Linked DNA regions of Arabidopsis thaliana. The protein of the gene in region 3 interacts with the protein of the main gene of each other region in a pairwise test. Each region holds a gene or a part of one and is shown on either strand. Other genes may lie near its edges.

What was found. The genes of interacting proteins can lie anywhere in the genome.
Region 1: the proteins of B70 (region 3) and LBD38 interact in a two-hybrid assay, tested with the Arabidopsis thaliana proteins (one large-scale study listed by BioGRID).
Region 2: the proteins of B70 (region 3) and AT4G01460 interact in a two-hybrid assay, tested with the Arabidopsis thaliana proteins (one large-scale study listed by BioGRID).

What each region holds. Positions count from the first base shown.
Region 1 is NC_003074.8:18,510,417-18,518,257, forward strand, and holds LBD38 (LOB domain-containing protein 38), read left to right. Parts: upstream 1-3,849; 5' UTR 3,850-4,048; coding exon 4,049-4,232; intron 4,233-4,326; coding exon 4,327-4,886; 3' UTR 4,887-5,715; downstream 5,716-7,841. Other genes in the region: AT3G49930 (C2H2 and C2HC zinc fingers superfamily protein), read left to right, coding at 1-477.
Region 2 is NC_003075.7:616,831-625,125, forward strand, and holds AT4G01460 (basic helix-loop-helix (bHLH) DNA-binding superfamily protein), read left to right. Parts: upstream 1-3,860; 5' UTR 3,861-4,147; exon of another isoform or gene 4,148-4,497; 5' UTR 4,498-4,503; coding exon 4,504-4,941; intron 4,942-5,042; coding exon 5,043-5,441; intron 5,442-5,756; coding exon 5,757-5,867; 3' UTR 5,868-6,169; downstream 6,170-8,295. Other genes in the region: TIP1;3 (tonoplast intrinsic protein 1;3), read right to left, coding at 8,262-8,295.
Region 3 is NC_003075.7:11,349,530-11,357,702, forward strand, and holds B70 (basic helix-loop-helix (bHLH) DNA-binding superfamily protein), read left to right. Parts: upstream 1-3,428; 5' UTR 3,429-3,534; coding exon 3,535-3,785; intron 3,786-3,880; coding exon 3,881-4,100; intron 4,101-4,188; coding exon 4,189-4,287; intron 4,288-4,422; coding exon 4,423-4,488; intron 4,489-4,623; coding exon 4,624-4,689; intron 4,690-4,786; coding exon 4,787-4,843; intron 4,844-4,952; coding exon 4,953-5,099; 3' UTR 5,100-5,295; downstream 5,296-8,173. Other genes in the region: DYT1 (basic helix-loop-helix (bHLH) DNA-binding superfamily protein), read left to right, coding at 393-572, 647-844, 920-1,165; PUB8 (plant U-box 8), read right to left, coding at 6,614-7,738.

The DNA of each region.
Region 1 (7,841 bases), on a different chromosome or scaffold from region 3:
GAGTATCTCGCTCTTTGCCTCCTTATGCTCGCTCGTGGCTCCTCCGATCATCACTCTCCACCGTCGGATCATCACTCTCTTTCTCCACTGTCCGATCATCAGAAAGATTACAAGTGTTCCGTCTGTGGCAAATCTTTCCCGTCTTACCAAGCGTTAGGTGGACACAAAACAAGTCACCGGAAACCGGTTAGTGTCGATGTTAATAATAGTAACGGAACCGTTACTAATAACGGAAATATTAGTAACGGTTTAGTTGGTCAAAGTGGGAAGACTCATAACTGCTCTATATGTTTTAAGTCGTTTCCCTCTGGTCAAGCATTGGGTGGTCACAAACGTTGTCACTATGATGGTGGTAACGGTAACAGTAACGGTGACAATAGCCACAAGTTTGACCTAAATTTACCGGCTGATCAAGTTAGTGATGAGACAATTGGAAAAAGTCAACTCTCCGGTGAAGAAACAAAGTCGGTGTTGTGATTATTATTATTTTTTACCGATCGGGATTAGCTAGTGGTTGATCATTAGCTGAGTCTGTAATGAAAATGATTGGAGTGGACTTTGGATTATTTTAATTTCTGTTTACGTATATGGAAAGAAAATAATCTTCAAATGTTTATTCGTTGTTGGTTTTTGTTTATAAAAAGTAAAAAAAAAAAAGGATATATTTGAAATTATTATTAATTTTGTTAATAATAAAAAGAATTGGATTAATGAAAATTGAAAACTACTATTTCATGGAAACTTCCTACTGTTGTTTTTCTTCATTACTTGATTAATTTTTCATTTACTATTTCCGCAAGCAAAGGAACCACTTCTTTGAATCTGTCACTCCCAGCTTGAAGTGATCTGTTCCTAAGAATTTAACTATTTGATTAAACATTTCAGATTTCTATTTAAAAACATAATTTGATAGGAGAAATAGTATTAATTTTGGGTTATGTTAGTATTAATTATTGAAGTAGTGATAGATCGGTTAGTAGTACCTAACGAAGCTAATCCTTAAGTGGCTTGTCGACTTTGATTGGTTGGCACTCACACTTCCCTCCACGCTTAAATTATTTTTATAATTCTGTATTATTTCGTTTTCACGAGTTTTACGAGTCTTTTAATAATTAATTAATTGTATAATTTGTTACGATAAATATCTTACACGTCTTAATCGATCCCAGTTCTTATGTATCTTCTAAGAAAAAGAGTAGTTATACATTCCGAGAAAAATATGGATATTGGGTATTTTCTGAATTAAATGCCGGGAAAATATTGTTTTTTTGGTGGCACAAAAAATTGACTTATAATTATTCTTTATAACTATATTGTAGTATCTGATGGTTAAGAATTTTTGGAATTATTTTAAGATTTGTTTTTTTCTTGTCAACCGATTTTTATTTAGAGTTCAGAAAACTCATCCCTTAAAAATGTTGTTTATATATGTGATATTATGCGGTTCGGTATAAACTTTTCGTCAAATTAAGATTTGGCTTTGAAAAGACAAAAGCAAAAATTTTAAATCTAAAATGGTGTGGGAAAAAATAATAATAATACCTTGCTAAATAAGACGGAAAATATGTCGTGCAGCTTACTGCTTATACTTACATCTTACATTACCTATTAGGCTATAACCTAATGCTTGTGTTATAAGTCTGTAAGATTTGGTCATTCATTCTCTTTGTACTATTGTCTTCTTATATTGCTAGAAACTTAGAAACTAAAGAATTTCACCAATTTTTGTGGGCATAGTATATAGCTTATTAGCTTGTAATAAGGCCTAATAAGGCCCTCGAGCGTTACAATAACATCCAAATTAGTTTTGGCATGGTACCGTTAAAGTGGTGTTAAACTATTAATTTACCAAAGACTCATTGTTTGGACTTTGGACCATACGAAAAATGCAGTAGAGCCCATAGTGACATAGTGTACCGGCTCTTATAGCTGAGAAATTATATCCCAATTAACAGCCCAGTATTTAATCATTTAGAACTCAACGTGAAAGAGGACATGTTAAAGCCCAACACAAGTCCATAGACTCATGAAATACAAGTCCACAAACCCACCTTATCTAACCATGTAATTAGGTTTTATAGCATAATATAATGAACATCAATGAATGTAAGTAGGAATGCAATTTGTGCAACCTCTATTTGACAATTTCTTTCATTTCTTCTCAATAGTTTACAAGTCTCATACATTGTTTTTGTTCTGTTTTCAAAGAAATAGTTTTGGTTTTTCTATTGTATGCAATATGACTTCCCACTGTACATCATAAACATTGAAGTATATATAATATTTTTTCTATTGTGTTCTGCCGTACGTCTAACTTATAATCTATTTTATAACATTGATTTTACTAAATATATAAAGGTAAAATCTATCTTGTTGCATTCACTTCAGAAAATAAATTTTTGGAAGAAGGGCCACAAAACAATACTAATTTTCAAAAATTGAGATTGAAATTATGTTATAAGATTGATATTTAAAATAGGAATACCGTTGTAAAAATAAGTAGTTGATTTATCGAACATCTAAGCATCTGTTTAACACCAATTTTATGTCGTTGTTGATCAAAACTGTCGCGTTCAAGTGTCTTGTGTCGACTAATTAAGCAAATGAACTTTAGGTACCAGAAGTTCAACGAAACAATAATGCATTTTTAAATTACTAATGGACTGAAGTAATTGGGAATAAAGAAATATAAAGAGACGGCGGCATTCAGTGGAAAATTTGCCTAATTGGAGTGTAGGTAAGCACACCACGTAAGCCATGAACGGCGCCGTTTCACCGCATTGCTATAGGAAAGTAGAAGAAGACACTTTGACTTATTAATATCATTTTGTTGTAGATCTTCTGTTCATCATATATTTGATTTTGTTACTAGCTAATGTAAAGGAGAAAAGAAATGTTTGATTTGGTCACACACGTGAGACAGCATCGTAGGCAAAAAAACGCCTCTATCTTTCTTCTAAAACATTTTTCATATTAAATTATCAAAACCCTTAAGGTTGATTTAAGGGTCAGGTAGTGGATTTGTTTCGTTGAAGGGTCAGCTTAGCCTTAACCCTAAACAAAACAATCTCATTGGTTTCATAAATAAATTGTTTACAAAGTATACGTACTGCATGAACGAATGAACCATATCTATATTTATAAAACTCATAGAGACCAATAGTTTAAGAGAGGCACTTATATAGCTCAACAAATAATAGCGAACTAGAGAGAATATGATCTAATTAGTTATAAATCTCAATTTTGAAATTGAAGTGCGTTATTTCATTTGAGAATCTATGTGTTTTTTTTGTTGTTGTTAGATGAGAAGCTAGGTTTTTTTCTTTTCTTTACACCGATAATCGATAATATATGTTAATCACACTGATTTTTGTTTGAGACATGAAGATTCGAAAAATTTGTCAACGAATAAACACTGGATAGATAGAATTGAGATCTGCCATCAAATAATCGAGATCGTTCATGCATGACGCAAACATTTATATAGAAATGAAGCAAGTAAAGAATATGAAAAAGAATAGAAATGAGAAATTTATAAAGAAAGAAAAAAAGAACCAATGGTTGAGGAGGCAACTATTCGCGGGGACACGGAGCCGTTCGCACCCATCACCTTGGAATCTCTCTTTCTTCCTCTCTCCTCATCACCAACTAGTCAACAACCACACACCATTTTTAACTTTCATAATTAAACCTAACATAACATTTTTTTTTGTATAAACTATAGCATAAATTAAATTCAGTTAATGATAAAATAAATATATTTTGTAGCAATCATTCTATTTTGTAATTTGGTAGGGCTCTTTAAACTTTGATTATTATCCAATTTTTATTAAAATATAATAAAATCTCAAAGCCATGACCCATTCCTTCACTCAAGTATCAATGTCTATTGTCTATAAATATTACATAACTCTTCTTCTTCAACCAAACATTGAAACACTTTGTCCCACTCTCTCTCTTTCTCTTTCTTGTACCAAAAGCTTTTTGAATCTCCAAGATTATAGCAAAACCAAAGATAAAATACTAACTTAAAAGATTTCTGAAAATAATGAGTTGCAATGGTTGTCGAGTTCTACGAAAAGGTTGCAGTGAGAATTGCATCCTCCGTCCATGTATTCAATGGATCGAATCACCTGAAGCTCAAGGCCACGCCACCGTCTTCGTCGCTAAGTTCTTCGGCCGTGCCGGTTTAATGTCTTTCATCTCCGCCGTACCGGAATCTCAATGCCCTGGTACTTAAAAACAAAAACCTCTCGGTCCTTTAGATCTTCGTCTAAACGTTGTCGTTTTGGTTTCTGATGGTAAGGGTATTTGGTCTTTTTACAGCTTTGTTTCAGTCTTTGCTATACGAAGCTTGTGGGAGAACTGTGAATCCGGTGAACGGAGCCGTCGGATTGTTGTGGACGGGGAATTGGAATGTTTGTCAAGCGGCGGTTGAGACGGTGCTTCGTGGTGGTTCTTTAAAACCAATACCGGAGCTTCTTAACGGCGGTGGATTCGCCGGGTTTCCGTCTCCTACTTCCGACGAAGCTTCGGAGATCTGTACGGAAATGTTGAATCTACGAAAAGCTGATGATTCCGGTGATCGGAACATTTATCATCACTGCCGATTCTCAAGCTCTAGATCTAGATCAAGATCAACAGCTTCTCCGCCGAAACGGAAACGATTATCGTCGGAACAACAACCTTCGTCGGAGCTTGATCTCTCTCTTATTCCTATTTATCCGATTAAAACCTTGCCGTTTAAGGAAGATACACCGTCGATGTACTCGGAGGAGTCTGTTACCACGGTTTCGTTTCAAAACAACAACGCCGGTGATCGGTACGTACGCTGCGGCGGAGGAGGAGGAGGAGCAACGACAAAGTTGCTCAATCTCTTCGCTTGAACGGCGTCGTTTTTGTTATGAGGGTTAAAAATGTAATTTCGAGTAACTTTTTGTTGTGGCCTTTTTTGGATTAATAGCCCTTAATATTTTGTGAAATGTAGCAAATTACGTGATTTATTTCTCTCTTTAATTATGAGAAATTATCCAAAGTAATAGAGAATAATGATATAATTCGTCGGTGGTGTACTATTTTATTTTTAGTTCATAATCAATTAATCATCATTCTCATCGAATTCAAATTAAAAGATAACAATGATAATGTGTACGATAAATCAATACTTATTAGCTACTAAATTATTTGTTTTTATCGACATATTCAACATTAATAATAATAATCACGAATCGGAGTCAAAATATACATCTCTCCAAATCCAAAGCACCGGCAAAGTCTTCGCACCCAACATATTTCGATTCTTTAAGGACCAACATGTTGTAATGTACACACAATCATACACAACTTGCTATTTTGATAATCATCTTGATTACTACTCGCAAAACAAAATATTAGCATTTATTATCTCCAGGTTTATTGTCTTTCGATACTACATTTGTTATTCAATGGTTTAATGATACCTAGTAATAGTATAACACAATAGTACGTATTCCTCGAGATGTGATGATCTTTTTGTGATATCTCAAATTATCCTATACTAGTACTGCAACGGTCTTCTTCGCAACACTCTCAATGGCATATGTACATCTTCATGTGTTTCTTTCTATGTTTAAGATTAGTCTACCACACATTCTCCGGATGAATACAAACTCTAAAAAAGATTAAACAAGGTGCATTACATAATATAAGTAATTGTATGTATAGAGTAGATATGCATTATATAATGCATGTAGTTGGGTTGAACCCAAAAAGTTGGGGTTATAAAGGGAAAGCTTTTGGGGGAGGCGGCTTTTGGACGACGCAAAGAGCCGTTTATGTCACACTTCATACCTTCGTGGAATCTTCAAAAGCACTCTTTTTTTATTGTTCTTCTATTCTTCTTCACATTTTGTTTAATAAAAACAACAAGGTATTGTTGCTCTATGGATGATGGCGTAGAAACAATGAAATTGACCAATAACATGTTTGCTTTTGAAACGTTGAAATGAGAATGGATTGTTGTTGGAACAGAAGAAGTGATTTGAAGATCTTATGAAGTGGGACATATTTTAAATATACTTTCGACCAGCCAGTCACTAGTGGGCAAACAATTGCTTGTGGTCCACGTCACTCTCCTTTCCTTTTCCGACCACCGGACTCTTTATGTTATTTTTGAAAAATATAAGTTTTTAGTTCTGACCATTTCAAGTTTTATCAACAACCGGGTATCATCATTCGTTCAATCTCGTCTGTTTTTTACATCTAATTAGTGTCTAATCATGAGTTACAAAATTTATGGAGCTAAATTTCTTTTTCTACTTTTAAACTATGGAGCTAACTATACTAGACGAATTCGCTTTTTAAAAATTTGGGGAATACAATATAACAATATGGATGGATAAACATGAATCCATCAAGTATAATGAGAATAAAATAACATTAGCAAGATTCGTGTTTAATGCCAAAAGCCACGAGCAGCCGCAGTTTCTTATGGGCCCAATACTTTCATCACCTTCTCCACTTAAGTCGGTGTGTGTGAGTCCACTTGATGTTTTCTTAAACTTTTCTTCCGAAAACGAACAAAACTTTAGTTAATTATTTGTCTTTGGTATGAATGTCAAGAAAATGGTAGTTAAATTAGTAAGGAATAACTAAACTTAAATAATCAAGTTGAAAATTAAAACCCTAGGTCTCACATGATTATGAAACATTTACTACTTTGTGTATTCCAAAAAACATGGTGATCAATAAAAAAATTTGAAGGTGAAAACAAAACGACGTGGATTATCAAATGATCACAAGAAAACTAGTCAATCTAAATAGAATATCAAATAACGACAAAAAAATAGAATATCAAATAATTAATTAAGACCATCAAAATCAAGTTGGTATTCATAATGATTCTGGATAAAATACAGAATTAAGTAAGTGATTTTTTTTGGATATATATATATATATATATATGATTTTTTTTTGGTGTGTTAATTCATAATGATTCTGGATAAAATACAGAATTAAGTAAGTGATTTGTTTTTGGATATATATATATATATATATGATTTTTTTTTTGGTGTGTTATATATATATGAATGATAATAGTAAAGTAATATTTTCTCATTATTTCAATTTTTATTTTTGCAAAAGTTATATATACATGATTATCTGACTCTCAAATAAAACAAAAACTAGGGTTAGCTGAATATTAGCTACCAAATAACATTTTATCAACCGGTAAACACACATTAGACCATAACATCTTGATATGTAACCGTACATAGTTCTTGATGAATTTTTTCGTACATTACTATACAAAGTGATATATTAATTTTCTGAAACTCAAAAAACGTTATGCTTAAAGCTGCATATATTGTAACCAAAGACTTTTTAATAAATTTTACATTACAATGATTCAAAAAAAGAAAAAAAAGTGATATATTAATTTCTACAACACATATTTGGAAATTTTTGTAACTGAATGTCATCATGTCCCGATTATCCCCAGAGATTTTGTATATGAACCTCTTTAAAAAACAATCTCAATTGTTTGTTTCTTGCTTTTAGTTTTCTCAAGTCTTTTGCTATTCAAGAGTTTATCGAATAAGTTTCTTGTGGATCAATATCACTATCTAATTTCTAACGATTGATTTTGTTATTAATATAGATGATCATAAGACTTAGCTTGGTCTACATTTTTTGTGGTTCTTAGGGTTTTGTGTGATCATTCTTCGAGTAAGGTGAGGACCCAAGAGCCATCTTGCCCCTTCAAATCTTTTGTTGGCCGTACATTCATTTACACTTAATTAGGATATTCTTTTCTTAAAGCAAAAATAGAGTTTAACAAATAAAATATAAAAATAAGATAA
Region 2 (8,295 bases), about 11 Mb from region 3:
ATTACTTACTCTACGTATTACTCTGATATGCATGAAAAGAGATATTGACTCTATTAGGCTTATTTTGTCTCTGCTACGGAAAATCTAGTTTTATCGCATTATACTGAAAATATTATAATTTAAAGAGTACGGATTGAATGATGATAAAAAAAAAGTGGTTTAAGGTTTTAAACAGAAGAAGGCGCAGTATTAAAATAAATAAATAAAAATAGATTTTATTACTGTTATTCTATCATTCCGACAAAGTTCCGATTAATATGTAATTGTCGAATTTTTTTTATTTTTCTAACGGATTTTTGATAAAGTATTGTTTTCGGAATTTCGTCAGAATCCCGTCAAAAAAAATTCAACCAAACATTTCTTTGAAAATTTTTGTTGGAAATGGTTATGTTTTCTTGTAGTATATTAACTATTGTAGTGTTATAAGTTTTATCGCAGAGATATAAAAAAAAAACAATTACCCTACTTTTTTTGTAATCCTTATATCTCATTTTTGTACAAAAGGAACTCTTGTAGACATCTGCTAAAAATTATCAGAAAGAAAAAAAAATGTTACAAGAAAACATTATTACCAGTAAATTGCCAATACAAATATTCAAACTATCAGTTTTGTTTGCAACCCTACTTCCTAGATTTATAAGATGCGAGATTAATATTCAACTTGCTACAACCTCGTATTATATAATTTTTGACAGTAACTAATACACTCTGTGTTTTTTTATAATTATGATATTACTTTTTTTGAAATAAAATTGAGAAACAAAACTGTGAAGGGGACGGGGAATCAAGCATTTGACCTCATCGACAAATCGACATAAGGATTTGAGTTTTCACCTTTTGTTGTTCCAACTTCTTTTCGTTTTAGTTGTCCAAAACGGCCTAGTTTCATAATATGTTAGATAAAATACATGGTGTTATATGGTCAAATATTGTGGAAGACTAGCTACAGTAGAAACTCTATAAATTAATACTCGATAAATTAATAAACACGATAAATTAATAAATTTTACCGGTCCCAAGTCGGGCCAATGTAAAAAGTAACCAAAATCGATAAGATAATAAGATAATATTTTTTTTGAAATCCCTATATAAAATTATAGTCCCAATAATATTATAAATTAATAATCATAGATCTTAAGTATATATTTTAAGACTAATTAATTTTTATATGAAATTTTTGTTCAAAGTACAATTACAACTCTTTTTAAAATATAACTGGTATGATCTCTGTTGTACTCACATAACTATTTGCGTATTTGATCTGTCATAGTTGATTTTGTAAAATCTTTTATTTGAAAAAGCATTGCTAAGATTTGTGTAAATAAAAATTGGATTAAACTTCATGTTTACGTTTACGTTCACGTTAATGTCGTGGATATACAAACACAATATATTTTGAAAAATAAATTTAAAAAGTCAAAGAAAAATAAAAAACTAACATAATTATATATACAAACAACAAAGCATATAGAAAATTAATTAAAAACATTTTAAAAAGAATATAGTATTGTATTTTACATAAATATTTTTATAAATTAATATTTATTAACTTATACGATAAATTAATAAATATTAATTTATAGGATAAATTAATATCACTATAAATTAATAAAATTTCATGGTCCCAACATTATTAATTTATAGAGTTTCTACTGTATATGGTTGAGTGACTTATATGATAATCTTGCAATTTTTTTAATGTGGAGAGTAGATTTACAAAAATATTAGATTTTAAAATTTGTTTTGCAATTTTCTCTTTACTAATCTTAGGTCCAACCAAACCATTTCAAGTCATTTTCTTGTTATCTGTAATACATTATATATCTAAAAACTTCAAAATTAATTTGATTAGTTTGCTTAACTAACAGAAAATATTGAATGATACATTTATTACAGATGAAATAATGAATTTTTATTTGTGGCCAATTGCATAATGGATGTGAGATTGTATAGACATATTTAACTTGTCAACTCTACATGCCTTCTGGAAACAAGTCAAATCGAATAAAGTAAACTGAGAGACAATTCATGGAATTGATCTAAACACAAGTGGGTAAACCCATTACCATTTTCCTCGCTCGTCTAAATTCCTATATGTTCTCATTTACTAGTATCGTATCTTCTTTTTTTTTTCTTAAACAAACTAGTACCGTATCTTCGGTTATATGGATGGTACATAGAACTATAAATTGTAAAATCATATTCTACATACTTACTTTGACGATAAATAAGTGCTATTTCGGGTCTAATGTTACACGTAGGGAACTACCTAAGAAAATGTGGTTCGCGTGTCTAATGCAAACTGATTTCCATTCGAACCTATAATGGCTGAAGAAATAGCTATCCACATATGATATGTTGATAATGATATATATTATAGATATTCTTGTGTTTAGCTAAGTAATATATAAAAATTTACTCCACTTTTTTCTCAATTGGTATGTGACATGCTCTTATTGGGTGGATAATGTACTAGACAAAACTTGTAATTTTTTTTTTCTTTATCTATAATAATATAAAAACATTTTGTGTGTTATATTTTCATACATCTATTTTCCTTTCTTCATAATTCGTTTGGCCTATTTTTCAAATGTAGTCTATTCAATTTTATTAGGTTGCATGTGAGTTTTGGACTCACTTATGCATGGTACAAAATCCAAGTTCTTAAAAGACTTTGAGGTAGAATAAAAATCTGTAGTTTGGGAGAAGGAAACAAAAATAAAAAGGTAAATTTCTTTTGGGGGAGAGTACTGTTGTTTGCCCTACAGACCAAGGCACTGAAATCGAGTTGGTATTATTAGGATACTTAACGTTTGGCACCCATGGCCTTGGCCTTGGCCATGTGCATTGTTCGTCCTCTTCTTAAAGGGTACTATTGTCATTCTTAATTTTTATAGCACTAAGTCAACACACCATATTGGGAAATACTTAAAGACCCATAATGTACTTGTTCTAGCTCGATTAAAAGAGAAAAAACAAAGTAAATGAAAAGTTGAAGTAAAAGACATGAAAACCCTTTTTGGATTGGAGAAAACTAATTCTCTAAAGATAGAAAAGAAAAAGAGGAAGAAGCAAGAGAGGCTTGGTCTTCTTTTCTGATCCTGAAACTGTCTTAATAAGAGTGAGAAGTACTGTTCATGGAAGACGTGTCCCCACCAAACAAAACTGTCTTCACTGCCCTCTTCAATAATACTTTTACGGGACCCCTCCTAGTCCCAACGCACAATCTCATTGTGTCTATACAGAGTTATATTATATATATACACTTAATTTCTAATAGTTGTAGCAAAACATATGGTAAGAAAATGAAATAAATACGGTTAATATATTATTATTTTTTGGTCAAAACGGTTAATATATATGTAACACCAATGAAGCCAACATATCCAAACACAGAAGAAGATTTTTGGATGATGATTTAAACATGTATATATGTTAGTGTGAATCTTCAAAGTTTCTGTTTAAGTAGAATTATTTTTATAGATAAAGTATTTTATATGTTTTTTGGTCGAGCCAAATATCGAATTCCTTCATCAAAGTCTATCGAATTCCTTATATTTACCAAAGTAAAATTCGTTAAGAACAAAAATCAAAGAGTATTGTCCCGAAAGAAAATTATTTTGAAGGCCCAAAGAGGACAAGGTCATAAATATTTGATCTGGAGGACAGGACACCCACGTATATTTTTGTCCAAAATTTAGGTTAAAAAAAGAAGAAGAAAGGTTATCTGTTTCACGGATTAAATATTTAATTAATAATACATACATATATTACTGTATGTGTGCGTGTAAAATACTAAATATCGACGACTATATATATAACTAGATAATTTAGCTATAGTATAGTATTTTTATTTTTCACCCTTGGTTTTTTTATACATATATGCACCGAACCTCTTCTTCTTCTCTTCCTCGTCTTCTCTCCTTTTATATATGTGGAAAACTGCATTTATTAAGAACAGTTTAGAAAGTGTCAACCCCTAAAGGAATGTTTTTAGTTTAGAGGAAAGAGAGAGAAGAAGAAGCAGCAGCAGAAGTTGTTAATTTGAAGACTATTTGAGGAAAGACACCTATATCTAAATACTCAAAGTTACAAAAATATTACTTCAGAAAACAGTTCCATTAGAGAGACTCATAAAGCTTCTCATGTAAGCCTCTCTTGTAATTTATTCTCATATACAGAATACTGTTTTGTGCATTTACTCTTCTTCTTCCTCCTCCTTTCATATGATTAACATTCAATGCAAAATTCTTGTAAATTCATTTTACAATAGCTTATCCAAATTCTGCTACTTTTATTATTGTTTCCTCTCGCTGCGACATTCTTTATTTCTCATCATTTAATGTTCTCTCCTCGTACATCCTCTTTGTTCTGTCTTAAGAATTCACCTACCAAACCATTTATTTCTCATACCCACTTTAAGATTTAGTAGATTTTTGTTTTCTTGTCAAAATGGTATCCTAAAACTAATCTCTCTTGTTTTTTTCTTTGTTGAAGCTAATTATGAGTGGATTGATGAGTTTTGGTGAATTAGAAGACCAATTTGGTCAGATTTCAGACACTACTATGGAAGAGAAGATACCATTTCTGCAAATGCTTCAATGCATAGAACACCCTTTTACAACAACAGAACCAAATCAGTTTCTCCAATCACTTCTCCAGATCCAAACCCTAGAATCAAAGAGCTGTCTCACCCTTGAAACAAACATCAAAAGAGATCCGGGTCAAACAGATGACCCGGAAAAGGATCCAAGAACAGAAAACGGAGCAGTAACGGTCAAAGAAAAAAGAAAACGGAAACGTACAAGAGCTCCAAAGAACAAAGACGAAGTTGAAAACCAAAGGATGACTCACATTGCCGTCGAACGTAATCGAAGACGACAAATGAACGAACACTTAAACTCTCTCCGATCTCTCATGCCTCCTTCGTTTCTTCAACGGGTAACAAAATGTTTTAAGGGTTCATTAAACAAGAACGTAATTTTTTTTTCTTTTCAAGAACGTAATTTAGCTTTAACAAGAAAACGTTTTTGTTTCTCTAGGGTGACCAAGCTTCGATTGTAGGAGGGGCAATAGATTTCATCAAGGAACTAGAGCAACTCTTGCAATCTCTAGAAGCTGAGAAACGAAAGGATGGAACTGATGAAACTCCTAAAACGGCGTCGTGTTCTTCATCTTCGTCTCTTGCATGCACTAACTCTTCTATTTCTAGCGTGTCTACGACGTCGGAAAATGGATTTACGGCGAGATTCGGCGGTGGAGATACGACAGAAGTGGAGGCTACGGTGATACAGAACCATGTGAGCTTAAAAGTTCGGTGTAAGAGAGGAAAACGACAGATCTTAAAAGCTATTGTCTCGATTGAAGAACTAAAGCTTGCGATTCTACATCTCACTATCTCTTCTTCCTTTGACTTTGTCATCTACTCTTTCAATCTCAAGGTAATTTTCTTAATCATCTCTTAAACTATCAGTTTCAATTTCCACTAGTTTAAGCATTATTATAAATAGTCTTATGTAACTAGCAATTTTTGACTTTTTGAGGAAAATTAAGGAATCTTCATTTTGAAATGTTTGGTACTTAAGAAAATTAAAATGCATGAGAAACCATAATAGAAAATATCTACAATTATGTGTGTGTGTGTGTATTTTTTTCCTTCACTCTAAGCTTAGAAAATTTTAGTTTAATTTTTTAGTAAGTTGCTAATTTTTGTTTAGTTTTGGAGAGATGAGAAATGAATGGTGTTGTGCATGCAGATGGAAGATGGTTGTAAATTAGGATCAGCAGATGAGATAGCGACAGCCGTTCATCAGATCTTCGAGCAAATCAACGGTGAAGTCATGTGGTCAAATCTTAGTCGAACTTAGTTGACTTTTGACTCCTAGTAACGTGTGTAAACTTTAGGTTACAAAGAAAAGGGACGTGATATAAATAAGAAAAACCAAAGAGGTGAAATTTTGGGAGTTTTAATTATTATCTTATACTTTTTGGATTTTAGATTAGTAGCAAACTCGCAGTGTTCTACGATGACATTATTATTGGTCACATGAAGGTTTAGGTTATTATTGCCTGTAATTTTTGAATATAAACTAACCTATGAGTTCAGTTTGACCCCGAAAACGAAAAAAGTTAACCATGAGTAATATTTACTTCCATTTATAAATGTTTCCCACTTAGTAATAATGTTAAGAAATTGACTTTAGACGTCCGTATTAGAATGGTTACGGAAATGGAAACAAATACAATTAAAGATGAAACATCATTATTACTAAGAAGAAGTCGCCTTCACACTTCGCAACCTCTTTTTATATTTTGCATATACGTTTTATTAATACTCTCATATCGTCCATGCGTCTGACAAATCTACGCTTGATAAAAAAGGTACAGCTACAACATAAATTTAAAGGTATTCTTTTGCATCAACGTCTACTGACTAAAAATACTTGTTTATTGTATAATGACTCTAGTTTTACTTTTAACAACGAAGAGAAAGGTGGCAGAATTTTTTTAATATTCCAATGGTAAAAAAGCATCGTAAAAGGAAGCCTATGGTCAGAGTCTCATTGACACATCGGTCTCGCTTGTAATACGTAAAACTCAGCCTATCTCACTCACATTACTTTTTTCGAAATTTTAATTCATATATCGGTTTCCGCATATATTTAACTTTTGTATTCAAAGCTTATTAAAAAATCGGGAAAAATCTAAACATCATAAGCAAAACAAATCCGATCAATATGTTTAAATTCTGTAATACAAGAACAATATAAACAAAAACATATTATTCAGAAAGCAATGATACATTATTTGAATATTGTGTGTAAGAGTGAACGACAAGATCATACGTCAGAGATAATCGACTGGTAACAACTCTGATCTTTTCCAACTTTTGGTCAAAGTCAAACCATTTGGTCATTTTTACAGTAAATTATTGAGTAATATGTCATTTACTCATTTCTTTTGAGGAAAACTCTTTTTTTATCAGAAAACAAAAACAAATTACTCATTTTCGTTTTGGGCTCAAGACAAAAGTCCTTCTTTTAAAAATATTAGCCCAGTTAATCTATACAGGCCCATTAAAGCCCATACTAAAAGAGCCGAGCGTTCCACCGCGTGAGATTGACGTGCGTGTATTTACGCGTTAATGTTTCGCGTGGTATTTGTTTATTTGAATAAAGATTCCTTAGCTTTATTCTTAGTAGGTCCTCATGAGTCATATTCGTGAAATTGAGGTTTTTGAACGAACTCGGGGCTTTGATTCGAAGTCGAAAGTTTTGATTTTATATTGTGATTTCTAAGTCGAAGGATGTGTTACTTTGGTGTTTTTTTTATTTGATTTTTTAAAAAGAATATTTGATAGTTGTAAAGAGTTTTTGTATATGTTTAATTTTTAAATAGAGAAATGGTCAACGTAGCACAATTAACTTGTAATAGAGAATTGCTCAACGTAGCACAATTAGTGTAGATCTTTAAAATTAAATCATCGAGCGAATTTTAGAATTCTCCCAAATAGTTGTTATCTGCAAATGTCATGTTATTTACAATTCTTGATACATAAAATAGTTAGTTTTCCATGTGGTAAAAACAATAAAACATACGACCAATCGACCATTGACATAACTCTTCTAAATCCACGATGAGTTATATATATAAACTTATAATACTAATCACAATTATTGTTATTGAGGAATATACATCGTGAGTATCATCAAATCTCGTCATCGCACTTTGCTTGAACGTGCAAGAAACTTGGAAACGCGTTTAGAGCAAACACCGGGACACCGAAGTACCGTTTATTGAATTCCTTTTTTTGTGTGTGTTGTTCAATACTTAAATCGACTAAAAAATCATTAGCCTAAGATTCACATATCAGAACGTGCTTGGGCCAAAAATAAAATAAAGAACGTGCATGGACCAACCAACCATATATATATCTTCATAGTATTATTGATAATGGCGGGTCCCATTATGTTTGATATATTTTCAGTTTTCACCATGGAAGCATAATCTCAAGAATATGCCTCCAATAAAATTCGTTTGTACATGAATTCCTTAAGTATGGCAGAATACTACGTATACCCCACATAATAGTTTAATCTAATTTAAATTAGTGTAAATTTTCCACCAATCAATTTATTAATTACTTAAAACAACAAAAGTAGTGAAAAACAATTAAAAACACATATCTCCCTCAAAATACCCATAGTAGGCTACAACTGTAGATTTCTTGTTTCACAAGACACAAGAAAAAAAAACCTAACTTAGAAATCATTAGAAGGAAGTGGTTCATGTCCA
Region 3 (8,173 bases):
AGTTAGGGTTTCGTCGAGTCATAAGAGTAACACTGGTTTTTTCTTTGGTAGTTTCACTTGGACTGATGGGACTCGAAATGTTACCATTCCTTTGTCTGTAAGGATTCGTGTTTTGAACCCTTGAATAAGAAGATTCCTCAATTCGTCATAAATTGTTTTTTCTCTCTATAATGAAAACAAAAATTGTTATTTTAGTCTCTGTATTTGACTCTAACTGAAATCACATTCACTTAATAACAAACTGAGACTAAGATTCTCTCTTTTATTCTCTCTCCACTAACAGACTTCTATCTACATGAGAAGCAACTATATAACTCATGTCTTTTACCACCATTACATAAATAAGAATATAAACACTTTTGTCTGAAAAATTATCAAAGAAGAAGAAATAAATGGGTGGAGGAAGCAGATTTCAAGAACCAGTGAGGATGAGCCGTAGGAAACAAGTAACAAAAGAGAAGGAAGAAGATGAAAACTTCAAATCTCCAAATCTTGAAGCAGAGAGACGTAGAAGAGAGAAGCTTCATTGTCGGCTTATGGCTCTGCGATCTCATGTCCCCATTGTCACCAACGTAAGTCCCAAATCTCGATTATTATTTTATGGGTATTTTGGTGATGATTGTTGTTGTTTTTGTTTCGTTTTCAGATGACTAAAGCAAGTATTGTTGAAGATGCGATTACTTACATAGGAGAGCTTCAAAACAATGTTAAGAATCTCTTAGAGACATTTCATGAAATGGAAGAAGCTCCTCCTGAGATTGATGAAGAACAAACGGATCCAATGATAAAACCTGAAGTTGAAACTAGTGATCTTAACGAAGAGATGAAGAAACTCGGAATCGAGGTTTTTAAAATTTCTCTAATCGATTTTTGATTCATTTTCTTTATCTTTCTTGATGATTTTTTATTTTTGGGACAGGAGAATGTGCAATTGTGTAAGATTGGGGAGAGGAAGTTTTGGTTAAAGATCATAACAGAGAAGAGAGATGGGATCTTTACTAAATTCATGGAGGTTATGAGATTTCTCGGATTCGAGATTATCGATATTAGTCTAACAACTTCAAATGGAGCAATTCTTATTAGTGCCTCTGTTCAGACACAGGAACTCTGTGATGTTGAACAGACAAAAGATTTTCTTTTGGAAGTTATGAGAAGCAATCCATAAGTATTAATTATATACATCTTGGAAATTTCTTGATCTAATAACATTTCCATTGGTTTTTATTACATTGTTGTTCCATTTTAAATATGATATGATTCAGATGAAAAAGAGTTTGTGTTACAAGCCAATGAGCTTCTTCTTGTCTTCATATATGTTGCTGCAAAATGTTCATGATCCTCTGTTTGAGGTCAAAGAAAGAAAACACTAGATATTATCTCTAGGATCCGAGCAATGGGGGTTTCTTTTTAAAATGGGCTTAGAATGAATTAGCTCTTAAATGGGCCATTCTCAAGTTGAGCCCATTTAATTTCAACCATCCAAATGGTGAGTAGTGAATAGTGATGTTCATTTGTGTAAGGTTGGAAGTTGGTAGAAACCTAAGTTTTTTTATTCAAATATCAAAACTATTCAATAGAGCCAAAATCAAAAGACATTTTCCTAACCTATTAACTATTTTTTTATAAAAATAATAATATACCTTTATCATCTCTGACTTTCCCTACTCCACGACATATTTGATTAACAATATAAAATAATTTATAGTTTCCACTCTCAATGAAATAAAACGATGGACCGTTTCCTCATGTCAAATGAATCAAATCAACAATCTCTATATAGTCTTAAGAATGTTGGTCTTAAAATTCTATTGAACTCAAATCGTATGAAAACAAGTTAAATTGTATATAAACAGAAAAACCAGTGAAGGTTGATTAATTAATAATTTACTTGGTTAAATTCTTCTTATTGAAGTTGGTGTACTGTAACCTAAGTCACTCGAAGTCTACAAATATTTAATATATCTATTGACTAAAAATATTAAAATAATTTGCTGAGTCAAACCATATGACATGAGCACATATTTTGGGAATCTTTCTAAATTTAAAGATCAAACCTAAAATAACCCAAATGGATTGGAGGGGACGGTCTGACTTAATCCATTTATACATTTATACAGTTGTTTGTTAGTGATTATATCCGAATATCAACAATTCATTTTAATAAATTTCAGAAAGTAAAAATATATATTTTAATCATGTCCATTACAAAACAAAAATTATAATTAAAGAAAGTCTTCATTCTTTGGTGAATGCATATATGGTATACGTCTTATTAACTACTTCTTTTCAAATAGTTGTATTAATTTATATTTTCTGTTCAATTAGGGAAAAAAAACTTATTTCGATAACTCTCTTTTTGTTGTCATATCCATATATAAAGCACAATGAAACTCAATTAAGTGTAATCCTAATTCCTATAAGTTATGATATCATTTGGAGAGGCTTGAAGCAAAACCAATAAGCTATTTTCTCCAAAGAGCAAGATTGATCTAAATCCATATATTTCAAAAAAAATTTGTTTACAATGTAAATCCATATTTGTTTGAAGTTTTTACATTTTTTTTTAAAGAGTCGACACGTAGGTCAGATATGCGCACGTAACTGTGTACAAACAAAAGACGTCCGGAGTCGTATAGATCAAAACGAGGCCAGCCAACAACTACCCTTTTGCGATGGATTTGGTAACGCTGACTTTCTTTTCCTTGTACGTATTCATCGACCATCCCAAAAATGAGATTATTTTTTGGACGACAAACATATTCTTTCTATATTGACATATATAACTGTGACGTCATTTTTGTTTTTAATTATTTGAATCAGTAAACCCCCAAAACAGTAGTTAATAAATATGCATTGCTATACAAATATACAATTTGCAAGTAAAATAAATACCATATCCGTACGATGACTTAATTAAAAATATATTCACATTATTTGTTTAACTAAAATTTTATTACTTTTTTCCCCTTGACAAGTTAATACTTCAACTGCGTTCAACACATAAAAATAAATAAATAAATATATATACTTCAACATATATCAAACATTTTAGTATTACCATCCCATATCAAAGAGTAAGAAAAGTAGTAATTATGATGATAGTAAGAAATTAACTCTGTTTTACAATGTTTGAGAAGATAGGGTCACAACTCACAAACTCACATGTACATCAAAGTTTTTATTTGATTAACCAAAATCAAAACTAAACTTTACATTGTACGTACGTTGGTAAAAAAAATTTGTCATCTTTTAATTACTTAATTTGCTTGACCTAACTTCCTATCGACTACTCTGATAAACATACATTATCTAAATAATTAATAGATTAATTAGGGAAGTACCAATAACATATAAAACTCTTGTACAAAACTTTTTTTTAACAAATATTATAACTTTGTTAGTTGACTTAAACCTCATCGCTACATATAAATACAATCCCCATCATCAACATCATTACTGTCTCATGCAAACTCTGACACTTACGAAGAAATAAGTCTACACAAACTAAACCATTGTCTACGTAACCAACAAAACATGACAGAAGAATTCGACACTACGGGAGTTTGTACCGGAACATGGTGGAGCTCCTCCAACGGCATGTTCTCAGGCTGTTCTCTGCCACGTTCCGCGGAGATTGTTGTCGATTTTGGTGAGATTGAATGGCAAAACATTGATACCCTTGATGCCAAAACTTACAACGAGAACTACCTTAGTACTTCCACATTCTTAGGCAATGCAAATCTTGATACCACATCACAAATCTACGTTTCGAGTCCATCTAACATGTAAGTCCATTTATCATCTTACGTGACGTATAACGTAAAATCATGATCTTTGTTCCTGAATCCTGACATTCTTTTTCTTTTCTCTTTTTTACCAGCCATGAAGAAGAACGATACAATCAGATAAATAGTTTTCTAGAAGGATTGTTTGATTCTAGTGAGCAATTATTGGTTCCTAACTGTCCCAAACCAGAACTATTCGAAAGCTTTCACTTCTTTGATGACGTTTTCCCGAACGAATCAAGAATGATATCAGTATTTGATCACCAAAAACCCAAGGAAGACATGCAAGCTTGCAAGAGTCTGACTACATGCAAGGTGGGCAAATCTATTTAATTAGTTTCTTTTAATAGAGATATTTTACAATATTTCTGTAGATTTTGACATTGTGACCAATTATTTTTAGAGAGCAAGTGAGAAAAGTGGAGAACTCGAAGATATTGAGTCATCACAGCCATTAAAAAGGCCAAGACTTGAGACACCATCTCATTTTCCGAGCTTCAAAGTTAGTAACAAATGATCTTACTACAGTTTTCAAGGATTGTCATTTATCACTAAAAAAAGTTAGTTATGCTAAGAAACACATACCCATGCACAAACTATTGCTGATATTTTTCCAAAAACTATTTTGATTGATAAGGTTCGTAAAGAGAAACTCGGAGATCGAATTACCGCGCTTCAACAGTTAGTTTCACCCTTTGGCAAGGTTTGTGTTCATCATGAATTCATGATCTGTTATATTGATATCTCTACTATATATTATCCATACATAATTACGAAATTTTTTTAGCTACTTCTGTTTTCAAATTTATTTATTATTATTTTGTGATGATTTTTACAGACAGACACTGCTTCTGTCCTCCATGATGCTATAGATTACATCAAGTTTCTACAAGAACAAATCACTGTAAGTTGATAATCTCTCAAATATGAAATACTACTACTAATTAATTGTTGGTTTTAGTTAACTGTTATATTTATTCTTTTTATAATCATTTAAATAGGAAAAGGTCTCTACTAGTCCACACCTGAACTCTATAGGATCTGGTGAACAGAAGCAGGTACTTAACTTAGTTAACGGTTAAACAACTCTATAATCTAAAATCAATTAAGTAGTTTGATTTTTGTTCTTTTGCTTATGATCATTAATAAGATTCTTTCAATTTCTAGTGGTCAGACAAATCAAGCAATAATACTCATAATCAAAATTGTAGTCCAAGACAAGATCTTCGAAGCCGCGGTCTTTGTCTGATGCCGATCTCAAGTACTTTCTCCACTCCTCCGCAGCATTTGGACACATCTAGTTTGTGGAATTAGACTCTTATACTGAATCAAAAATGTAACATTAGTACATTACACATGAAAACTCATAGATTAGTTTTGTTCTAAGAACTGTAAAGTCTGGTGTTAATTTGTGTATAAAATGTGATGTCTCGTTCCATTACTTCCTACAAATTTAGAGCCTACTTCGTGGAATGGCCGAAAGATTAGATAATTTGTGTTTCTTTTTTTGCTGTTTTATCAATCAATACTATTTTATTGAGTATGTTCACTTTTTCTGTTATTTTTTTATTTTTTGGTAAACCACTTATTCTGTCATATTAAAGACAAAAAATTTTTAAAAAAATTGGTCTTAATTTAATGATTTATTCTCACAATATCGTGATTCCACTACACATTATTTAATTTCCACACTCTGTAATAATACCAGTCACAGTCAGAATCTTATAAAGGTATATAGAATATTGTGGATTTTTAAAAAGGATTAGGAAGACAAATTAGATGATTTTTTGTCAACTATAAATTAGGTAATTAATATCTCCATTAAGGAGATCTTTAATTAGAAAAACAATCACTTTAATAAAGCAGCTCTTTTCATAGTACTCAAAGGCTACACACGACTCTGTCTTGTTTTGTTTGTGTGTCCTCAAATCAAGGCATATGATTGAATAAGAAACATAAAGCAGTGATATTTCAGCACTGTTTTCTATAAAAAAAAGAGCACGAGTGTTAAAAAAAAAACAAATAACCCATCTTTTTGTGAAGGAACATTAAATCATTGTGGAGAGAATTCAACAGAGACCATGTGCTTTTGGTACGAGCACGCCACAACTGAATTGAAAACAAAAACCTAAATCGAGTAGACATGGAATCATAAAGTACAGTTACTGGTTTGTCCCAGTGACTATTGTAGTAAAAAAGACAGGTTTGTCTTATGGAATCATCACATTTCTTTGGAGAATAAAGCAAAAGAAAGATCCGGAATATTATTTTCTTCTAGCCATGAATGCTTCAACCAAATTGATCAATCAAAATTCTCAAATTATTTCTGAATGTGATTCAACTAGCAAACAGTATAAATAAAATGCTATTACTAATGGCTTTTCATGTAAAAGCATGGGAGAAAATGTTAGGCTTGACGATTTGAGATGATTTCGCGGACAAGAACACTTGTAACAAAGGGTTAAGATTCAACAGAGAAGGGATTAATTAAATGCTTTGGAAATGTAAAGATTACAATTCTCTTGATGATGAACATTTTGAAACACTTGAAGAAAACTATTATGTATGATCCTTTTATTACTATAATGTACAGAGAAAACAAAAAAAAAGCATTTGCATTTTGCTTTGTTGAAAACGTAAGTCTTTGTTTTGTTCTTCCTTTCTTTTGTACATGAACACTACAAGTCGAAAATCCAACACAGAGATCACCCACACTTACCTCCATATCCAGACCAGATAAACAAAACCACAACAACTATCAACACCAAAACCGCCACCGAAGACAAAGCCCCGATCCTTTCAACATCCATTTCCTCACACTCCCAAAATCATGAACTCATTGGAATCCCAAGTAAAGTATGAACTAAGATAGTAGCATTCCTTCTGATTTTCTCACTCTCATTATCCTCAAAACCAAAGCATATCTCTACAACACCTTCTCTCTTAACCTCATCAACTATCTCTCCGCTACAACAACACAAGCAATTGAGGATAAACAGAGAATACTGAATCCCTTTCAAATTCCCATTCCTCAAAACGTTAACCAAAACCTCAACAAAACCACTTACTTTACTCATCTCTTCTCTTCCTCCTCTACACTTAACCAAAAGTCCCAACACTTCCACTGCTCTCTCTAACCCTGAATCAGCAGCTTCAACCAAAATAGGCACCGACCCACAATCCACAACCCGTTTCCGATTATCGGGAAACGAGCAAAGAGCGTAAAGAGCCGTAGCTGATTCCTTTCTCTCCCTATCATTCCCTACCCGGAGAAGAGAAACAAGAGCAGAGATTGCATCAGGATATGATCCAATAGTAGCTTTATTCACTTCAACAACAGCTAAACTCGTTAACAGAGTAGCAGCAATCGCTTTACAATCCGGTGACCCGACTCGTAAAACAGTAACAATCCGTCTTATCACTCCATCAGCGACTAAACCAACTTTGTTATCATCTTCTAAACTAAGATTCAAAAGCAAAGACAGAGACTTTTCTTGTAAAACCTGATTACAAGAGTCAACACAATCCAGAGCCGCACGAACTGCTCCTGACTCAGTAACTTTCCTCCTGATTGACGAGTCTCGCTTCGTGAGTCGGACGAGTCGAGTCAAAGACTCGAGCTTTGATGCATTAGACGACGATTGAGAGACGAGAGTGGAGATTAAAGCTTGGGATTGAGAGTGAGAGTGTTCTTGTTGAGTTCGAGGACGTGATGATTCCTTAAGACTCACATGGGCGAAGTTTAAAATTAAGCTACGAAGTGCGTGATTGGGAATCAGATAAGGGGTTTCTGATAAGGGTAGCTTGGTGATTGGACAAGTTCGATTGCCGGAGTCAATCCATTGTTGGATAGAGACCCGATCGAAAGTATGACCCGATTGGAGGATAACTGGGTCGGACATGATCTCAAGGGAGATCGGGCATCTGAAATCGTTTGGTAAATCAAAGGCCATCTACACTTTTAGCTCTTTCGAGGTTTTGAATGAGAAAGAGATAAGATTGAGACTGAGAGAGAAAGAGTGAGAGAAGGGTTTACAAGATTCTTGCAGGAACAGAGCAGAGAACCCGGAAAAAAGACGCTTGCTTTTCTCCGTCTTAGAAATTAAAACAGAGAGAGAGAGAGAGAGGGGCTCGTGGACGGTGAACCTTTTTGCAGCAATGGCTACCGTTTGAGATGACGAAGTTGCCCCTTTTGTTTCGTGGATGTCCGGGTAAGGGTATTTTGGGTACAGATGATATTTACTGTCCTAGAATTTGAAAGGACTTTTTTATCTTCCGTCAAGAATTTTGGGTATGTCACACATTGATACCACAGAAAGTAAAAACTTTAATATGTTTACGTAATTACCCGTCGTTAGACGTACATGCAAATATGCAATGGCGGATTA